Linked DNA regions of Arabidopsis thaliana. The protein of the gene in region 1 interacts with the protein of each later gene in a pairwise test. Each region holds a gene or a part of one and is shown on either strand. Other genes may lie near its edges. The genes, in order: MKK5, RACK1B_AT and RACK1C_AT.

What was found.
Region 2: the proteins of MKK5 (region 1) and RACK1B_AT come close enough for resonance energy transfer, tested with the Arabidopsis thaliana proteins (one study listed by BioGRID).
Region 3: the proteins of MKK5 (region 1) and RACK1C_AT come close enough for resonance energy transfer, tested with the Arabidopsis thaliana proteins (one study listed by BioGRID).

The regions. Positions count from the first base shown.
Region 1 is NC_003074.8:7,443,024-7,449,737, forward strand, and holds MKK5 (MAP kinase kinase 5), read left to right. Parts: upstream 1-2,580; 5' UTR 2,581-2,893; coding exon 2,894-3,940; 3' UTR 3,941-4,964; intron 4,965-5,016; downstream 5,017-6,714. Other genes in the region: AT3G21215 (RNA-binding (RRM/RBD/RNP motifs) family protein), read right to left, coding at 50-132, 221-290, 407-498, 822-936, 1,053-1,182, 1,380-1,455, 1,535-1,714, 2,038-2,208; 4CL5 (4-coumarate:CoA ligase 5), read right to left, coding at 5,208-5,327, 5,419-5,521, 5,601-5,814, 5,908-6,103. UniProt on the Arabidopsis thaliana protein: Mitogen-activated protein kinase kinase (MAPKK) which regulates abscisic acid (ABA) responses in a MAPKKK20-MKK5-MPK6 cascade involved in root growth (e.g. root cell division and elongation) and stomatal response, probably via MAPK6 activation by protein phosphorylation.
Region 2 is NC_003070.9:17,980,010-17,985,492, reverse strand, and holds RACK1B_AT (receptor for activated C kinase 1B), read left to right. Parts: upstream 1-2,115; 5' UTR 2,116-2,224; coding exon 2,225-3,103; intron 3,104-3,414; coding exon 3,415-3,516; 3' UTR 3,517-3,857; downstream 3,858-5,483. Other genes in the region: PEX3 (peroxin 3), read right to left, coding at 1-102, 190-317, 383-419, 524-594, 702-832, 906-1,096, 1,187-1,348, 1,529-1,542.
Region 3 is NC_003074.8:6,209,669-6,215,421, reverse strand, and holds RACK1C_AT (receptor for activated C kinase 1C), read left to right. Parts: upstream 1-2,870; 5' UTR 2,871-3,050; coding exon 3,051-3,929; intron 3,930-4,211; coding exon 4,212-4,313; 3' UTR 4,314-4,544; downstream 4,545-5,753. Other genes in the region: LST8-1 (Transducin/WD40 repeat-like superfamily protein), read left to right, coding at 855-962, 1,047-1,148, 1,236-1,348, 1,503-1,572, 1,747-1,824, 1,895-2,011, 2,111-2,193, 2,274-2,353 and 2 more; AT3G18120 (F-box associated ubiquitination effector family protein), read left to right, coding at 4,850-5,332; EMB1270 (Pentatricopeptide repeat (PPR) superfamily protein), read left to right, coding at 5,731-5,753. UniProt on the Arabidopsis thaliana protein: Minor component of the RACK1 regulatory proteins that play a role in multiple signal transduction pathways. Involved in multiple hormone responses and developmental processes.

The DNA.
Region 1 (6,714 bases):
CATACTGGAATATTAAATAATCAGAAAGAGTAAAAGTATATAAGGATATTGGATCCTCATGCCAATTGAACCAGAACTTGGAATGACAGCACCTTGCAAATTATGGTGAACATTTGTGGCACTATTGACATCCTGCAAGTCCAGATAGAAGAATTTAACAATATGCTAGAAGAATATTTTCTGTCACATATACACAGATGGTGAAGGTCTCAGAGTTAACCTCGAATTCAATAAAGCAAACTGTATGCCTTTCTTGTCTCAGAATCTTCATTTGTTTGAAACCAGGTTGCCTGCAAAATGAAAGTACAGTTTACCGCAGAATTCTTGAGAACACAGGTCTACAAAAAGGCCAAGATCTCAAGGAAAGCAATGGACAGGAGTCTCACTAAAGGGAACAGATACTCACGCACTCAACAGGCTCCTCAATTCTTCTTCGTTTATATTCTCCCCAAGATTACCAATAAATAGGGTATTGCAAGGTGGATTATCCTTAATATTCTGCAATTGAAAAAAATTTGAAAACAACATGAGACATATATCAGATCACCAAACCTAGGCTAGATATTCATCAAACTAGGTACAAAATTTATCAAACAATCAGAAACTTTAGCAAATTCAGAGCAGTAGACAATGCATTTAAATTAGGCAACAACTATTGTTCCACAACACAACCACCAGAGAGTATAGCATGTAAGCTAATTAGAATGAAGTTCGAGATTGTAATTTTTAGGCAAGGAGAGGCAAGTACAATATGGATTCCGGGTATATAATTGCACAACCACCATATGATAAATAAAATGATGAAAACAGTGCAACTTCACCTGGACAGGCACATAAGAACTAGGAGCTGCTATAGGTGGGGGCGTAGGCATTGGTACAGGGGGAGCATGATAACCTGCATAGGGATCATATGGTGGAGGTGCAGGTGCCATATATCTGAACCAATTTATCTTCTTGTCAAATAAGCAACTTAACATAAAACGGTGTACCAAATACACATCGTCCAATTTCTACACAGCATATGAAATATGAAGGAGAAGCAAATGCCTAACCCATGAGGAGGTCCCCACACAGGAGGAGGTGGAGGATGGAAAGGAGATGGACTATACACAGAGTGTGTGCAGTCACCACCAGTTCGTAGGCGCTTACTTTGATCATAAGCATTTGAATCCCCAACAATACCTACAGAATAAAGATTGAGTTCAAAGGTTATATATGGTTTGTGATATTAACAAAGGAAGTAAGAAACTAGATAAAGGGGAGAGTGTAGTGAGACCCCGTATAAATGCACAAAACTGTATCAAACATGCTTCAGTAACATGACTAATGCTTAAGATAGATAAAATACAGCCATTTTATGTCATAAAGGTAGAGCTAACCTCTTTTAACAAAAAGATTCTTCTTGGCCATCTCTGTATGTATCACAGACTTTGACTCAGCATCAAACACCATATGCTGCATGCCAAGAACAACATATGTCATAATGTGAAGACAAAAAAGGATCTGAGTCAACAATGATCAGAAGCAGACAGACCTGAAGGGTATCTTTGGCTGCCATTGCAAACTGAGCTGTGGAGAAAAGAGCAAACCCCATGGGCTTTTCTCCCTTGAAGTTCACCTGAGAAGCCTCGTAACCAGGCAACCATCTCAAGAGATTCAAAAGCTCTCTCTCTTTTACATCATCGGGAAGCCCTGCGATGAAGATTGTCCGCAGCTGAACAACAGATTCAAACTTGTGTAAGAGATCACGTTTTCCCAAAATCAGAAAACTCCAACTACATGACAAGATAAGAGAACCTTTCTCACTTATGCAACAGGTCATAAGTGAGATTTTAGTAACAAACTTAAAAATCATTCTTATCAAAAAGGTCATAACTTTGGACAATTTATCGATTCCGTAGCAAAATCAAGCTAACATTGTATATCAAAAAGCAGGCAAATTAAAACCTCAACGTAAACAAAAATCAAGCAAGCCCATCTCGACAACACAGCACAAGAATCACCGATATGTATAGAGAGAAAGAGAAAGAGTTGAACCTCGTCATAAGGAGGACGATTATGGTTGTCAACTAAAACAGGAGGAGGAGGAGGATGGTGATGAATGGGCGGCGGATGTGGTGGAGCAGCTGATGATACTGCGGCTGGAGGAGGCGGCGCACCTGCCGGCGGCCACTGCTGGTGGTATGGGTGGATTCCGGCGCCGGCCATGAGATAAAAAAAAAACCTAATTACTCAGAGAGTCAGAGATTGATTGTTCGAAAAAACTTCTGCGGAAGAATTGACGGCAAAGAAGGCAAACTTATTTTTTAAGTCACATGCATCGCACGTGAACACTGTACCACTTTAATTTTATTTCTTTCTTTTTCTGTTAAAAACTTTAAAAAGAAAATTAGTTTTTAATTTTTTTAGAATTATAATTACTTTAAGTTTTTCTTTTTTCAATTGTTTTTATTGGAAAGAAACTTTAATCTGTATTTTCTTACTTTCTAAAAATATTAAATACCTAACACCAAATTTATAGTATCTAAATCCACGATCTTAAACACTCTTAATGATATTATAATCCAATTCAGACCCGACCAAACAAAAAACATGGTTAACGTGTAACAACACAGAGCCACACAAGTGCGAGTGTATTCCACGCTCTTTCCATCAACGCGTACCTTCGTCTTACCATTTTAACTTTTTTTTTTTTTCTTGTTTCTTACAATCATTTTCACAAATCTCTTCGATGAAGCTTCATTCTCCTCTTGATTTGATCTCTTTGAAAAACGACGAATCAAACAAACCCTAGAGTCAAGTCAATCATGATGATAAATACAAACCTGGAAGATAAAGAATCAACCTTGTGAAAAAAAAAAAAAACTTTTGATTCCCTCTTCTTCTAAAAGCCATGAAACCGATTCAATCTCCTTCTGGAGTAGCTTCACCTATGAAGAACCGTTTACGCAAACGTCCTGACCTAAGCTTACCACTCCCACACCGCGACGTCGCTCTCGCCGTACCTCTCCCTCTCCCACCTCCTTCTTCCTCTTCATCCGCTCCGGCGTCTTCCTCCGCGATCTCAACCAACATCTCCGCCGCTAAAAGCTTATCCGAGCTAGAACGAGTGAACCGAATCGGAAGCGGAGCCGGAGGAACGGTTTACAAAGTAATCCACACTCCGACGTCACGTCCTTTCGCTCTCAAAGTGATTTACGGAAACCACGAAGATACCGTGAGACGTCAGATCTGTAGAGAGATCGAGATCTTAAGAAGTGTTGATCATCCAAACGTTGTGAAATGTCACGATATGTTTGATCATAACGGTGAGATCCAGGTTTTGCTTGAGTTTATGGATCAAGGATCTCTTGAAGGAGCTCATATATGGCAAGAACAGGAATTAGCTGATCTCTCTCGTCAGATTCTTAGTGGATTAGCTTATCTTCATCGTCGTCATATCGTTCATCGTGATATCAAACCTTCGAATCTTCTTATAAACTCAGCTAAAAATGTGAAAATTGCTGATTTTGGTGTGAGTAGGATCTTGGCACAAACAATGGATCCTTGTAATTCATCTGTTGGTACTATTGCTTATATGAGTCCTGAGAGGATTAATACTGATTTGAATCATGGTCGTTACGATGGTTATGCTGGAGATGTTTGGAGTTTAGGTGTTAGTATCTTGGAGTTTTACTTGGGGAGGTTTCCTTTTGCTGTGAGTAGACAAGGTGATTGGGCTAGTCTTATGTGTGCTATTTGTATGTCTCAGCCACCTGAAGCTCCGGCTACGGCGTCTCAGGAGTTTCGTCACTTTGTTTCTTGTTGTTTACAGAGTGATCCTCCTAAGAGATGGTCAGCTCAACAGCTTTTGCAGCATCCTTTCATACTTAAAGCTACCGGTGGTCCTAATCTCCGTCAAATGTTGCCGCCGCCTCGTCCTCTTCCTTCTGCCTCTTAGTGTTTCTACCATTTTCGTCTTTCTTGTTTTTCAATTTTTCGTAGTTTTTCCTGACATTTTTCCATAAGTTTTGCATACCCCAAGCAAAGATAATGAGAAGAGTAGAAGAACAATGTGGTTTGTGATTGGGGTATGAGTCGTCAGGAAGAAACTCAGTTTGTGGTTAGGGTTTATTGAGTCTTTATCTTATGCTGCTAAGCTTGATTTGTCTTATGGGTAATGAAGAATGTTTTGCTAGAAATGGAAACAAAAAAATAGACAAGAAGAATTCTTATGGTTTAAGAGTGATTTTAGCTGGATTTGCTTATATTATTGTTTATATAAGGAAGTAAATGGAGGATCTTTCATTGGATAATTCTCATTAATAAAGCTTCTTCCTTTAATTCTCTTTATGGTTTTCTAGTTTCCGTCTTGTGAACATTACAAAGGCTACCCTAGTGCCTACTGCGTTATTTTTTCTTTGCCAGTTATGGTCTAATTATTGCGGTAAAAGTTGAAAGCTTGTTTAGGAACTTTTGTTTGAACGAAATCATGTGATGCTCTTGCAATTGGTCAAATTCAGAAAGCTTTCATTTGGTTCCATCTTTGAGCATGCATCATGCATGTAAACATCAGCTATTCACCTTGTTTCTGCTTCTCGTTCTCTCTCTCTCTCTCTCTCTCTCTCTCCCAATGGTTTTGTGTTCAGTATCCGTCAAATTGCCTTGATGTTTTAGTGTGATTAGGAATGTAACTCTCAACTGTCCAGGTCAGATTCTAGGTTCTTCAGCATCTACTCAAAAAAGTCTACCTTATGGCTAGGAATCTAGCTCTCAAGTGTCCTATTGGTCTTGACTTCTAACCACATTAGACCTTTCCGCTGGGCGGCTGGGCCACGTCTTTCTCTGCAGGTTTGCTGAAGTTTGTGCTGATTGATTCACCTGAATACTTGAAGCATTCAGCTTGCAGAGGAGGATAACTTTGAGTGTGTGTCCCAGTACATAAGTCTACCCAGCGTAATCACTTCTCATTGTCGCTTTTGTGGGTATGTTTCTGTTCCTTAATTCTCTAAATTTATAATTCTTCTTAAGAAAATAGTGAAATGATGATTATAGGAAATGAATTTATGTTTCTGAGGGTAGCTTAGCTTTAGGTTTCCTAGATTTGTTGACTTTACATGATTGATCTCGTGAAAACCAAATCAAATACCAAATACTTGCTTCTTACTCCTTACTTCTTAGAGACTATAATGTTCGAATTTACACATACATTTGAAACTCTCTTGTGTCTATTTAGAGCACATGGTTTCCAATTTAGCTCGCAGATCCTTCCTCAGAATCTTGCCCGAAACTGCTTTTGGTATAACTTCTATGAAAAACACCATCTTAATCCGCTTGTAGTGAACCACCTATATAAACCATCACACCATTGATTTAAGACATAGACAGTTTTCCATCTTGTGTGTGTTTCGCATTGAAAAACCGAAAGCGAATTCGTACCTGTTTGTTTACGTAACTCTTGACATCATCTTCAGTTAACTGAGACCCTTGAGATCTTGCTACAAATGCTACTGGAACCTCATCAGCTACTTCATCCTTCATTCTGAAAATTCAAATATCATTAGAGACAACAACCATTTTAGTGTCTCAGTTTGGAAGTTTCAGATTTGTTTTGAACTCACGCAACAACTGCGGCATCATCGATAGAAGGATGAGAAATAAGCAATGCTTCAAGCTCAGCTGGAGCCACTTGGTAGCCTTTGAATTTGATCAGTTCCTTCAACCGATCAACAATGAAGATCTCATCATCATCATCCACAAACCCAATATCTCCTGTATGTAACCACCCGTCTTTGTCTATGGTTCGTGCAGTAGCTTCCGGATCATTCAAATAACCTAACAACATTGCACCATGTTTTCCCTATCAATGTTTATTCTCCCAAAGGAAAAAAAAGAAGGGACATAGCTTGATCGTTTGACCCTTTTTACCTTTCATGAGCTGATGACCTCGGACGCAGATCTCGCCAGATTTGTTGCGCGGCAAGGAGATTCCGGTTTCGGTATCGACCACTTTCATCTCGGCGTTTCTGATCACAGTCCCACATGCACCGGACTTGGTTTTAAATGGGTTCTTTGCAAACGCTAATGACTTAGCTACCGTTCCGGACTCGGTCATTCCATAACCCTGAAACAGAGTTTTGTTTTTTTAGTTTTAGTCAATACGAAAATGTAAAAACGACAACAGTCGAATATTGTCCAACATGATAATAACATCGCCAGTGACGAAGACATGAAACGGCATTCTGAAAACTGTAATTAAGTAAACGAGATATTAATGTATAACATGTGCTTTGTTGTTGTGGGTCGTGGTTGACGCTTAATTACTTTTATGATCCCACAATCTATCAATAAGTCAACACTTTTGTTGTTTCTTGTCAAATCAATAAGTCAAATAGTTATGAAATAATAAATGAACTAAAAGACTACTTGAAATTTTGGATGGGTGATTCGTATAAAGAGACACGTAATGAATGTTTACCCAATAAACTAAACTATGCAAAAACAAAAAATAATCATCACTTAGTACTGTTATAAACCTGTATATGGATCTTCTTAAATAATTAAAATGTGTGAATTCATTTCATAATCCAAAAAATAGATCATTATATAAAGATAAAAACAACACGGCAAAACCAACCTTAAAGACAAAGTGGAGAAGCTGTCCTCTAGGCAATGGGATTAAAGTGTTTTTGCAGACATTATCGTTTTATCGTGTGTGTCAGTGTGTGTGACTTA
Region 2 (5,483 bases), on another chromosome or scaffold:
TCAACCCAGTGATGTGGGCTTCCAGTGCTCATAAACACATCTACAATCTGCATCACGGTTTCTTGAAGAACTCTTGTGGTAATTACATCCTTTAACTGCTTTCTGCAATTAAACACACAAAAACATATTAGAGTTTTTCCAACAATAGTCAAATTATAAACGATCTAGATACGAATTTTTGCAATGTACCCTTTAAGGACTTCCTCGGCTGAACCCTGCATATCTGAAATCAAACTTGGCATTGCATTGGTGACAAGAAAATCAGCACTCGACAAAAACTTCTGTTCATCATCTCTATCAATGAGATCTACCTCTTCCTGCAAACAAAAAGAAACAAATTTAATAGATACACTGTTGAAAGCTCACAGGGCAAGCAGATCACAGGACAAGCGGCCGTGGCTTTAAAAGGTAATCTGGAACTATATCAAAGAAAGATAGGTGATTCCAGAGTATTAGTCCACAGATAGGTCAAATGCATAATCGTTATCGCAATTAAACACAGCTACTAGAGACATAATTATACAAGTTCTTAACAGAACAACCAGTGAGTTTCCCCGAGAAATAGCTTGTTGGGGATGAGATAAGCAAAGTACACTGAATCATACTTGCGAGCAAATGAGAGCAGTAAAGAACATGTGCAGTATCGTTTAATAAACAGCAAATTCTCCAATACAGAGAAGAGGGGAAGCATATTATCTTACAAGTAAATGAGAGCTGCCAAGAGCTCGAGCGGTGTCAACATACAAATGTCTGCCTAAAATGTTGACTTGAACCCTAATGTATAAGCTAAGCATTGTCACAGACCACAGAGACAAAACCATCCTCGTGAAACCTGGCAAATAACATGAATATACAGGTAAGAAACAGAATTTGATAGAGTAAGAGTAGGTGACTGCAGTGCATACTCAAAATCTTGAGCTCATCCCAGAGCTGAAGTTTCTCAGGTGGACTCAGCATTCCTTTCCCTTGGTTCAGTCTGTCCATAACATGAGAGACATCGATCTCCTCGCTGATACGGATACTCAAAAACTGCATTGCGTGAGGCAGTGTGGTCGAATCCACAATCATCTGAATACTCTCGAAATGTGCTTTCATTCTAAACAAGAGTACAAACAAGACAGGTCCGTTAGAGAATCCATAAGAACTGAAGTCTAAAGGATCAGTTTTTATGAGCACAGAACTTAACTGGGTTTTGATGATTTCGTCATTTTCACGCTCGTGAGCGAGTTCTCGTTCCAAATCAGCAAGCCTACGAGTATGGGAATTGTATAGTTTGTAGAGTAAATACCCACTTCCCAAACAACCAGCCGTCACCAAGACCTTCCTTCTATGCTTCCTCCAAAAACCCCTAATTTATTCCACAAGGTATTGAATCAATTAAAAACCCTAACTTTATTCACCAAAAACCCTTCCTAAGGAATTGGAATTAGTGTGCTAGAGAGAGAGAGATAGAGAACGCAAAACACTAAATTTCGAATTTTCACGAAAACAGTAAGCAATTACAAAGAAAGATGAAGCGAACAAGAACCTAACGAAATCCATGGCTGGTGAAGCTTTTACTGAAGTCGAACCCAGAGATACATAGCTGAGAAAACACGTAGAAAGATGAAGATTCCCGAATTGATTCGTTCGGTTTGAAAAGGAGATAACTTTGCAGGCGAGAGAAAGAGATGGTTGATGTGATCGATTTCAATTTAATCAATCACTTCATCTTTTTCTTCTCCGGAATTCGGACATGTAAAATTATATCTTCCACAGGGACAGTCGAAGTTGTGTTCTTAGTTCTTACAATAAAAGTTGAAATGGCCAAACTCGGTTTGTTTACTTTAATTGAACCGACTTTTGAGTCTATTTCAATTTTTGACAATAACTTCTCGGTAGAGTTCTCATGGGGTTTGCCCAAAAGAGAGAAAAAAAAGTTGTCATGTCATGTACTCATGTGGTTATCAAATTGACTTGTAACAAGCTATACCAATTCTGGTTAAGCGTTCCAAACAGAAAGATATAAATCTCGGTTCCATAATTGTCCCAACATGAAACCAAGTTGGGTAGAATACCGGGCCTTAATGCTGGCCCAAATGAAGAGACCCAAACTATTGACAAATGAAAACAAAGAACCCTAATTATCTCTAACTATAAATACTCTCGGTTTCTCGTTACCTCCATTTTGCCCTCTCCCATTTTTGTCGCCGAAACCCTAAATCTCGACCTCAAACCCTGAACCATGGCTGAAGGACTCGTGTTGAAAGGCACAATGTGTGCCCACACTGATATGGTCACCGCCATTGCTACACCGGTCGATAACTCCGACGTGATTGTAACTTCGTCGCGTGACAAATCAATCATCCTCTGGAAACTCACAAAGGAAGACAAGTCATACGGTGTTGCTCAGCGGAGGATGACTGGTCACTCTCACTTCGTTCAAGACGTTGTTCTCTCCTCCGATGGACAATTCGCTCTCTCCGGATCTTGGGACGGTGAGCTTCGTCTCTGGGATCTCGCTACCGGAGAATCTACTCGTCGTTTCGTTGGTCACACGAAAGATGTTCTCTCTGTTGCTTTCTCTACCGATAACCGTCAGATCGTCTCTGCTTCTCGTGATCGTACGATTAAGCTTTGGAACACGCTTGGTGAGTGTAAGTATACCATCTCTGAAGCTGATGGTCACAAGGAATGGGTTAGTTGTGTTAGGTTTAGTCCTAATACTCTTGTGCCAACTATTGTATCTGCTTCTTGGGATAAAACTGTGAAGGTCTGGAATCTTCAGAATTGTAAGCTTAGGAACACTCTTGCTGGTCACTCTGGTTACTTGAACACTGTGGCTGTGTCACCTGATGGTTCGTTGTGTGCCAGTGGTGGCAAAGATGGTGTGATCTTGCTTTGGGATTTGGCTGAAGGGAAGAAGTTGTATTCTCTTGAAGCTGGCTCTATTATTCATTCACTTTGCTTCAGTCCCAATAGGTACTGGTTGTGTGCAGCAACAGAGAATAGCATTAGGATTTGGGATCTCGAGAGTAAGTCTGTTGTTGAGGATTTGAAGGTTGATCTTAAGGCTGAGGCTGAAAAGACTGATGGTTCTACTGGAATCGGAAACAAGACCAAGGTATCTATTTCTCCTCACTCTATCTTATGGTTAATTGTCTAGTTCTAAGTTCTGTGAATTAGTTAGCCGTTGCCTTAAAAGATGAGATTTTCATAAAGGAAGGTCTGAATACTCTCATGTGAAGTTAGTTCACAAGATTTGATTGGTACGTAAGAGAGTAGCTAACATTAGATTGAGAAACCTGGTTTTAAGTTAGCTCTAGTCTCTGATTTCTTAGATTGTAGTGTCTGAAGTGATTCCATATTGATTTGTTGGTTACTCTTTGGTCTGAGGTGGTTTATATATGTTCTAATGTGGAATGTAAAATGCAGGTGATCTACTGCACAAGCTTGAACTGGAGTGCAGATGGAAACACTTTGTTCAGTGGATACACTGATGGAGTTATCAGGGTTTGGGGTATTGGTCGTTACTAGAGAGACAAGAAGTTTCTTTATTCTCTCCAAATTTTTCCATCGACTCTAAAGTCTTCTCTTCTGAATTAGTGTTTTGAGGATTTATTTTTTGTTCTTTTCTATTTTCAGAATCCACAAATGTGATATTTTGATACATTGATTTTGTTTCATATTTGTTTTCTTACACTGAGTCTGAGTACACGGCGTAGAATCTGATTTGAAGTTGTTACTTGTATCCTCTAGAAAGTAGAAATGGCTTTAGGTTGATGACTAACTGTATAACAGCAAGAATTTTTTCTTAGGAATCTGAAAACTTCAAGGAGTTATTAGCCTTTACTTTTCCAGTGGTTACATCTTAACTACAACACGAACCCTTTCAAAAGAATCTCTAAACACCAATGCACCAACCAGTTTATCTTTTTGTACTTAATGATATTTGGTTTTCCATCTCTTACTCTACCAAAACTAAGAGTAGTCTAAAGTGTAGGCGACAAGGCCATATGTTATACGAATTCTCAGTTAACATGAACCGAATATAGCCCATATAGAATAGTTCTTGACCCAGACGCTTACCTCCATACGGCACAGAGTCTCTGATAAATGGGTCTTATTAGCATTAATTTTGTGTGTAGCCAAAGGTTGAAACTTGAGAACTTCTTCATGCTCAAAAACACCAAATGAGGTAAACCATGCACGAGTCAATAGTCAATAATCAAAAGTGCAATCAAGATTGTTTTCACTGCTTTTCCGAAGAAACCAAGACCCCCTATGACATGTTTCAGCATCATAAGCCGCTCAACAAAGCAATGCTTAATTGCTCTGTAAAATTTTTCATATTTCTTATCTTTTAGATATTCTACACCCAATACCCAAGTCCACGTATATAACAAGATCTTAATTAGGCTCCGTAGGCTTCGACAACATGTCCATTTTATATCATGCTTTTTTTTGTAGTCCAAATAAGCTAAGGTTGATCAAGAATGGAACATCAAACTACTAAAACTATAGATCGTTTAGCTCTGCATGATTTAGAGAAACCGCAGCAAAACTATTTCTATCGTCATTAGATGATATAATACAACCTTTTGCACTAATTTAGGCTTTGCAAATTTGAGAAAAAGAAATATAGACTTTATTATATTCTGTTTTGTTAACAAATTAGGCTAATCTACCTCATATTGGTTACTCGGATACTTTCTTCTCAAATGCGACAAGTCTCAACATGTTTCGATCAAATAGACGTGTTTCTATACTGCTTTGATGTTTTTTTATGTTCCCTGGTGCAGTTTCCTTGATTTGGACCGAACTTGGAACATAAGAGAAAACATGTCGCCTACGATATGGTTCTGCATGTTCTCCAAGATCCAATTCTCTAAAGTACCCCGCCTCGCCAATGATGTTGATTGTTTTGCGATTGTCATTAAACCCGATGGCGACTTTCTTTTCCTCGTTAATGAAGAAACTCGTGTGTATAATTGGCCCCGTATTTATTCTCAAGAACTTGCTCCACGACACCATTTCGGCCTCAAGCTTAGCTGTAATCCATATTTCAACTACATTTTTATAGTAGTGGTCCTTGTACTGAAATAAAACTGCAAGCTTCTCTTCACTAACACAAGATAAAATCACACATGAATGATGACGATCAATAAAGCTAAACGGCAAAGGCAAAAGCGGTCCAAATCTCTCTCTAGTAAAATCAAAACAAATAATGTGATCGCTATAACCGCCGCTCCTCTTCCTAGCACACCAGTATGTGTTTCCCTTGAGGGAAACACCACTTTGAGAAATAACTATAAACCAGTGTGGAGTGACATCAAGAGTTGTCCATAAATCCGAGTCAAAATCGTAGATTTCATACCAAAAAAATTGGTGTAGGCCGCGATAATTCCAATGATAATCTATAAACCTCAATAATTTGTGGCTGCGACATGAATTCTTATTCTCGTATCCGAGAGAGTAATTGAACATGTACGTACTATCCCTTC
Region 3 (5,753 bases), 1.2 Mb from region 1:
TAAAAATAAAAACCCCCAAATTTATTGTAAAACCAAAACTGACAAATGTGTCTTAACACACATTAACTCCCCTCTTTACTCTTGTTTGAATCACATTTCAACATTCACACACATTTTCAGCTCATCCAAACTAAAAGAAACAATAACCAAAACGATGATTAAGGCACGAATCAAGAGCCTACAAGTAATCTGAAAAAATCATATATATACATAACATTTGAATCGAAAGCCAATTCGAATCTAAAGTTCTGGGAAAAAATCAAGCTGTGAAAATACGGAAATGGGGAAATCGGCGAGCGTTACCAGATGCGGTGCCTGTAGAGGTGACTGAAGAAATGGAACACTTGACGACGGAGAGCCTAACTCCTCCGCGACGGTTCAATGACGGCTGGATGAAGAAGCCCGTCGGCAAAACAAATTCCAGAGCTTTCGTAGCCGCCATTGTTGCCGTCTCTAAAAGCTTCCAAGGAGTCTCAGCCGTTATGTCTGTCAGTGAAGTAGTGAACAAATAGTTGTTCTTTATATTTTCTTATTACTTTTCATAAATAACAAAATAGCCCTTTACTTATTTTCGTATATTTAAATAAACCCCAATAGATATATATTTATACTAAAACCTCCCCGCGTTAATTAATTATGAGAAAAGCTTGGTAAAAACCCTATTTTTCTTCTTCTCTTCAATTTACAGTTCTCTGCACCTTTTTCTTTCCCCTGTTTTTTGATCCTCAATCACCAAACCCTAGCTTGTTCTTCTGTTGATTATTTCGAAAAGGGGGTTTGTTTGTTTTCTGGGAATCAGCAAAAATCACGAAATGGTTGGTTTAATATTTCAATCGGGATAAAATCGATCGAAAATGAGTCAGCCTTCTGTGATTCTTGCTACGGCTAGCTATGATCACACCATCCGATTCTGGGAAGCCGAAACTGGTCGCTGTTACCGTACCATTCAGTATCCTGATTCGGTTTGTTTCTCTCTCTCTCTCCCTTGATTTTGTGAATTCTGAGTAATTAATAAAACTGAGACAAATTAATGTTTGTAATTGCAGCATGTAAATAGGCTTGAGATAACCCCAGATAAGCATTATCTAGCTGCAGCTTGCAATCCTCATATTCGACTCTTTGATGTCAATTCCAATAGTCCTCAACCTGTAAAACTCCTCTCTTTTTTTCTCAATGTGGTGTTTGCTTCCTTCTACCTGCTTGAGTGATCTTGATGGAGTCGTCGTGTGTATTAGGTGATGACTTACGATTCACACACCAACAATGTTATGGCAGTAGGATTTCAATGTGATGCAAAATGGATGTATTCAGGATCAGAAGATGGCACAGTTAAGATCTGGGACTTAAGGTATATCATGTCATCTTCATCTTTAGCTAAAAGTTTATAGATTTATTCAAGTGTGGATTCTGGGAAAGGATAAGGAGATATTGAATATAAAGTTACGAAAAATACTAAGAACGTTCTAAATTGTATTCTTGTTGACTCGTAAACCAAAATGCAGGGCTCCGGGTTGCCAAAAGGAGTATGAAAGTGTTGCAGCGGTTAATACAGTTGTTTTACACCCAAATCAGGTACATGAAGTCATCTGTTATTGTTGTGCTGTGGGAATCAGCTTCGTTTTATGTTTAAGAGAGTTGTTGTATTGCTACTGTTGAAACTGCTGTGATTTTGGTAGTTGTCTCAGCTGTTATTATGAACTATTTCCTTAGTCTTTATTATGAACTTTGTTTTTTTTTTTTGTACAGACTGAATTGATATCTGGAGACCAAAATGGAAATATACGTGTATGGGATCTCAGAGCAAATTCGTGTAGCTGTGAACTGGTAATTGCCTTTGACACGTCTTCATTTCATTTCTGAAAATCCGTAGATAATCACTTGAGGTTAACTATAGGTACCAGAAGTTGATACAGCTGTACGGTCTTTAACTGTTATGTGGGATGGGACAATGGTAGTCGCTGCTAACAACCGTGGAACATGTTATGTATGGCGCTTGTTGCGTGGAAAACAGGTAGTGTTCCTGATATGCAAACCTTTCTTTTGTTTAACCATGTTGTAGTCGCATTACTCTAATTGTCCATGCCATTTAAAAATTCAAAATCTTTTACAGACAATGACAGAGTTTGAGCCCCTTCATAAGCTGCAAGCTCATAATGGCCACATCCTTAAATGTCTCCTCTCTCCTGCAAACAAGTAACATGTTTCTTATACTTTCTCTTTTAACCGTTTTCTTCATCCTCTCCTTTTCGAAGCTCTTACATATTTGTTAGCAGATATCTAGCGACTGCATCATCTGATAAAACTGTCAAAATATGGAACGTCGATGGTTTTAAACTAGAGAAAGTTTTAACAGGTATGTTCTCCATGTTACTGTCAACAGCATTCATTCTCCATTATCGTCTCTTACACTATCATCAAATCTTATATAACAGGACATCAAAGATGGGTTTGGGACTGCGTCTTCTCAGTGGATGGAGAATTTCTTGTAACAGGTACTAATCTCTGTCTTAACTTAAACCACTGAAAAACATATCAGAACAATCTTTAAACGGGTTTCTATGATGTTGTACAGCATCATCGGACATGACGGCTAGATTGTGGTCGATGCCAGCAGGCAAAGAAGTGAAAGTGTACCAAGGTCATCACAAAGCCACTGTGTGCTGTGCACTTCACGATTAAAACCTTAATAAGAATCAAAGCTAAATTATGAACAAACTACGATTGTGTTATTTGTGTTTTAGTAAACTCTTGTACATTTCAATCGAATTCGTTCAAATTGCTCTTATGTTCCCTCTCTGATCAAACATTTCTCAACTATATCACAACAAAAATGCTCCAACAAAATTTATTTCAGAAGAGGCCCATTTATACCTGACTCGGAAACTCCGGCCCAAATGAGCCAGTCTCCTCGCAGAAACCACACTAAACCCTAATTTGATTCATTTTTAGACCTAGAGTATAAATACCAAACATTTCAATCGACCTCGTAATCTCTCGCTCTGTTACGCCATTTTCGTGAGTAAGAAGAAGAAACCCGAAAACCTCAAACCATGGCCGAGGGACTCGTATTGAAGGGCATTATGCGCGCCCACACCGACATTGTCACGGCCATCGCTACGCCGATCGACAATTCCGACATCATCGTCACAGCGTCGCGTGACAAATCCATCATCCTCTGGAAACTCACAAAGGACGATAAGTCTTACGGTGTTGCTCAGCGTAGGCTCACAGGTCACTCTCACTTCGTGGAAGATGTTGTTCTCTCATCGGACGGTCAGTTTGCACTCTCCGGAAGCTGGGACGGTGAGCTCCGTCTCTGGGATCTTGCCACGGGAGAAACAACTCGTCGATTCGTTGGTCATACGAAAGATGTGCTCTCTGTTGCATTCTCTACTGATAACCGGCAGATCGTGTCTGCTTCTCGTGATCGTACGATTAAGCTTTGGAACACACTTGGTGAGTGTAAGTATACCATCTCTGAAGGTGATGGTCACAAGGAATGGGTTAGTTGTGTTAGGTTTAGTCCTAATACTCTTGTACCAACTATTGTATCTGCTTCTTGGGATAAAACTGTGAAAGTTTGGAATCTCCAGAACTGTAAGCTGAGGAACTCTCTTGTTGGTCACTCTGGTTACCTCAACACTGTTGCTGTCTCGCCTGATGGTTCGCTATGCGCCAGTGGTGGGAAAGATGGTGTTATCTTGTTGTGGGATTTGGCTGAAGGAAAGAAGCTTTACTCGCTTGAGGCGGGTTCGATTATTCACTCGCTTTGCTTCAGTCCTAACAGATACTGGTTGTGTGCTGCTACTGAGAATAGCATTAGGATTTGGGATCTTGAGAGCAAGTCTGTTGTTGAGGACTTGAAGGTTGATCTCAAGTCTGAGGCAGAGAAGAATGAAGGTGGTGTTGGAACTGGTAACCAGAAGAAGGTACGTCATTATCTTATGATTTCACTATAGTAATTGGTTCTCTATTGATAGGTTAGTGAATGCACCAAAAGTAGTGATGAAATTATCTTTGGTTATGACAAAAAAAAAGTGAAATTTTGGTTAGAAATTGCATGTAGGAAATCTTTTCCCTTACCCATTAGCTTTGAAACTAGGAATTTTATTCTTTAAATGTTGCTCTGCTCCAAAGGTTTTGACTTTGATGTTAACATATAGGAAGAGATTGATAATGGTATCTAATGGGAATGTGTAATGAAAATGCAGGTTATCTACTGCACAAGCTTGAACTGGAGTGCAGATGGAAGCACATTGTTCAGTGGTTACACTGATGGAGTTGTCAGGGTCTGGGGTATTGGTCGTTACTAGAGACACAACAAGATGAAGAAGAAGTCACGAAATCTCCGGAAAAAAGTTTAGCTGCTTTTAATTTTTCCAGACTGCGTCAGTATTGTATTAGTCTCTCGCAAACCTCTATTTTGGCAATTTTTGTTTAATTTCCAGAAGAGAAAAAAACAATCCATTGATTATCATATCACTATATATCAAAAGGTCACGATTTTGATTACACTTACCTTCGTGATCTTCCGATTGGTCTTATTGAGGTTCAATCTTCACAATTCATCCCTATAATATATCACTCTTATCTCTTTCACCGGCCACATTACAAGCCTATTAGATTTCTAAAGCCCATGATTGGCCCAATTCAGTTAGGGTGGGTTTCTTTGTCTTCAAATTTGTAACCACCGGAAGCAGAGGAGAGTATCTTCTGAAGCATTAACCTAACTTATTTATGATCCTTGAGATGATGATGGCCAATCTTCCAAGGGATTTAGTGAACCTTGTTACGGATACGTACAGTATGAACTCTACTACCTCAAGTCCTCAACTCCTCTAAACCACGGATGAATATTACTATCCCTAACATTAACTCTGCGAACTGGGAGATACAGTTTTCTGCACGTGGCGTGTCTCTCAAGGGAAATACTCAACAAAAGCATCTCCCTGAGTTCTTACTCTGTTATGATTTTACAAGAGAGATATTTGGACCCCCTCTAAGTCTACCGTTTCACTCTTTTAATGAAGATACTGTGACTCTATCTAGTGTTAGAGATGAGCAACTTACAGTGTTATTTGAGAGAGATGATACATTACAGATGGAGATATGGATTACGACTAAGATTGAGCCCGAAACAGCGTCGTGGAGCAAGTTGTTCTTAGCGGTGGGTATGGAACCACTAACTGGTTTGCAGTTTCAGGTTGCCGCTGGGAATTTCTTTGTTGACGAGGAGAAGAAAGTTGTCGTGTTTTTGGATAAAGACACAGAGACGCGGGAGCGCTACATAGCCTTTATCACCCACGTATCTGTTCTTATGTTCCAAGTCTAGCGCAAATCAAATGGCCACAACTTTAAGCTGAGGAACTCTCTCAACATTGTCGCTGCTTTTAGTTTATCCAATTTTTCCAAACTGGCTCTCATGTAAATCTTGTATTTTGTCAAATTTTGTTTAATTATCATCATACACTCTATCAAAAGGTCACGGATTTTGGTTGCATTTTATATTCTTCATCTTTAAAATTGGTCTTATAACGCAACTTTCGTCTCGCTTCATAAAATCCTTGTCACAGTTAAAAACAGCAAGGTGTTTGTTGGTAAAAATCTTAGACGGCAAGGAGTTTGTTTCTCACTTTCTCAGGAACCTTAAAAGATCACTCTTCTCTTTCACTCGCTTCTCATCTTTTAACGGTACAACGAAATTTATGAAGCTGAGAGAAGAAGACATTAATGGCGGTTTCTGCAGGGGCTTT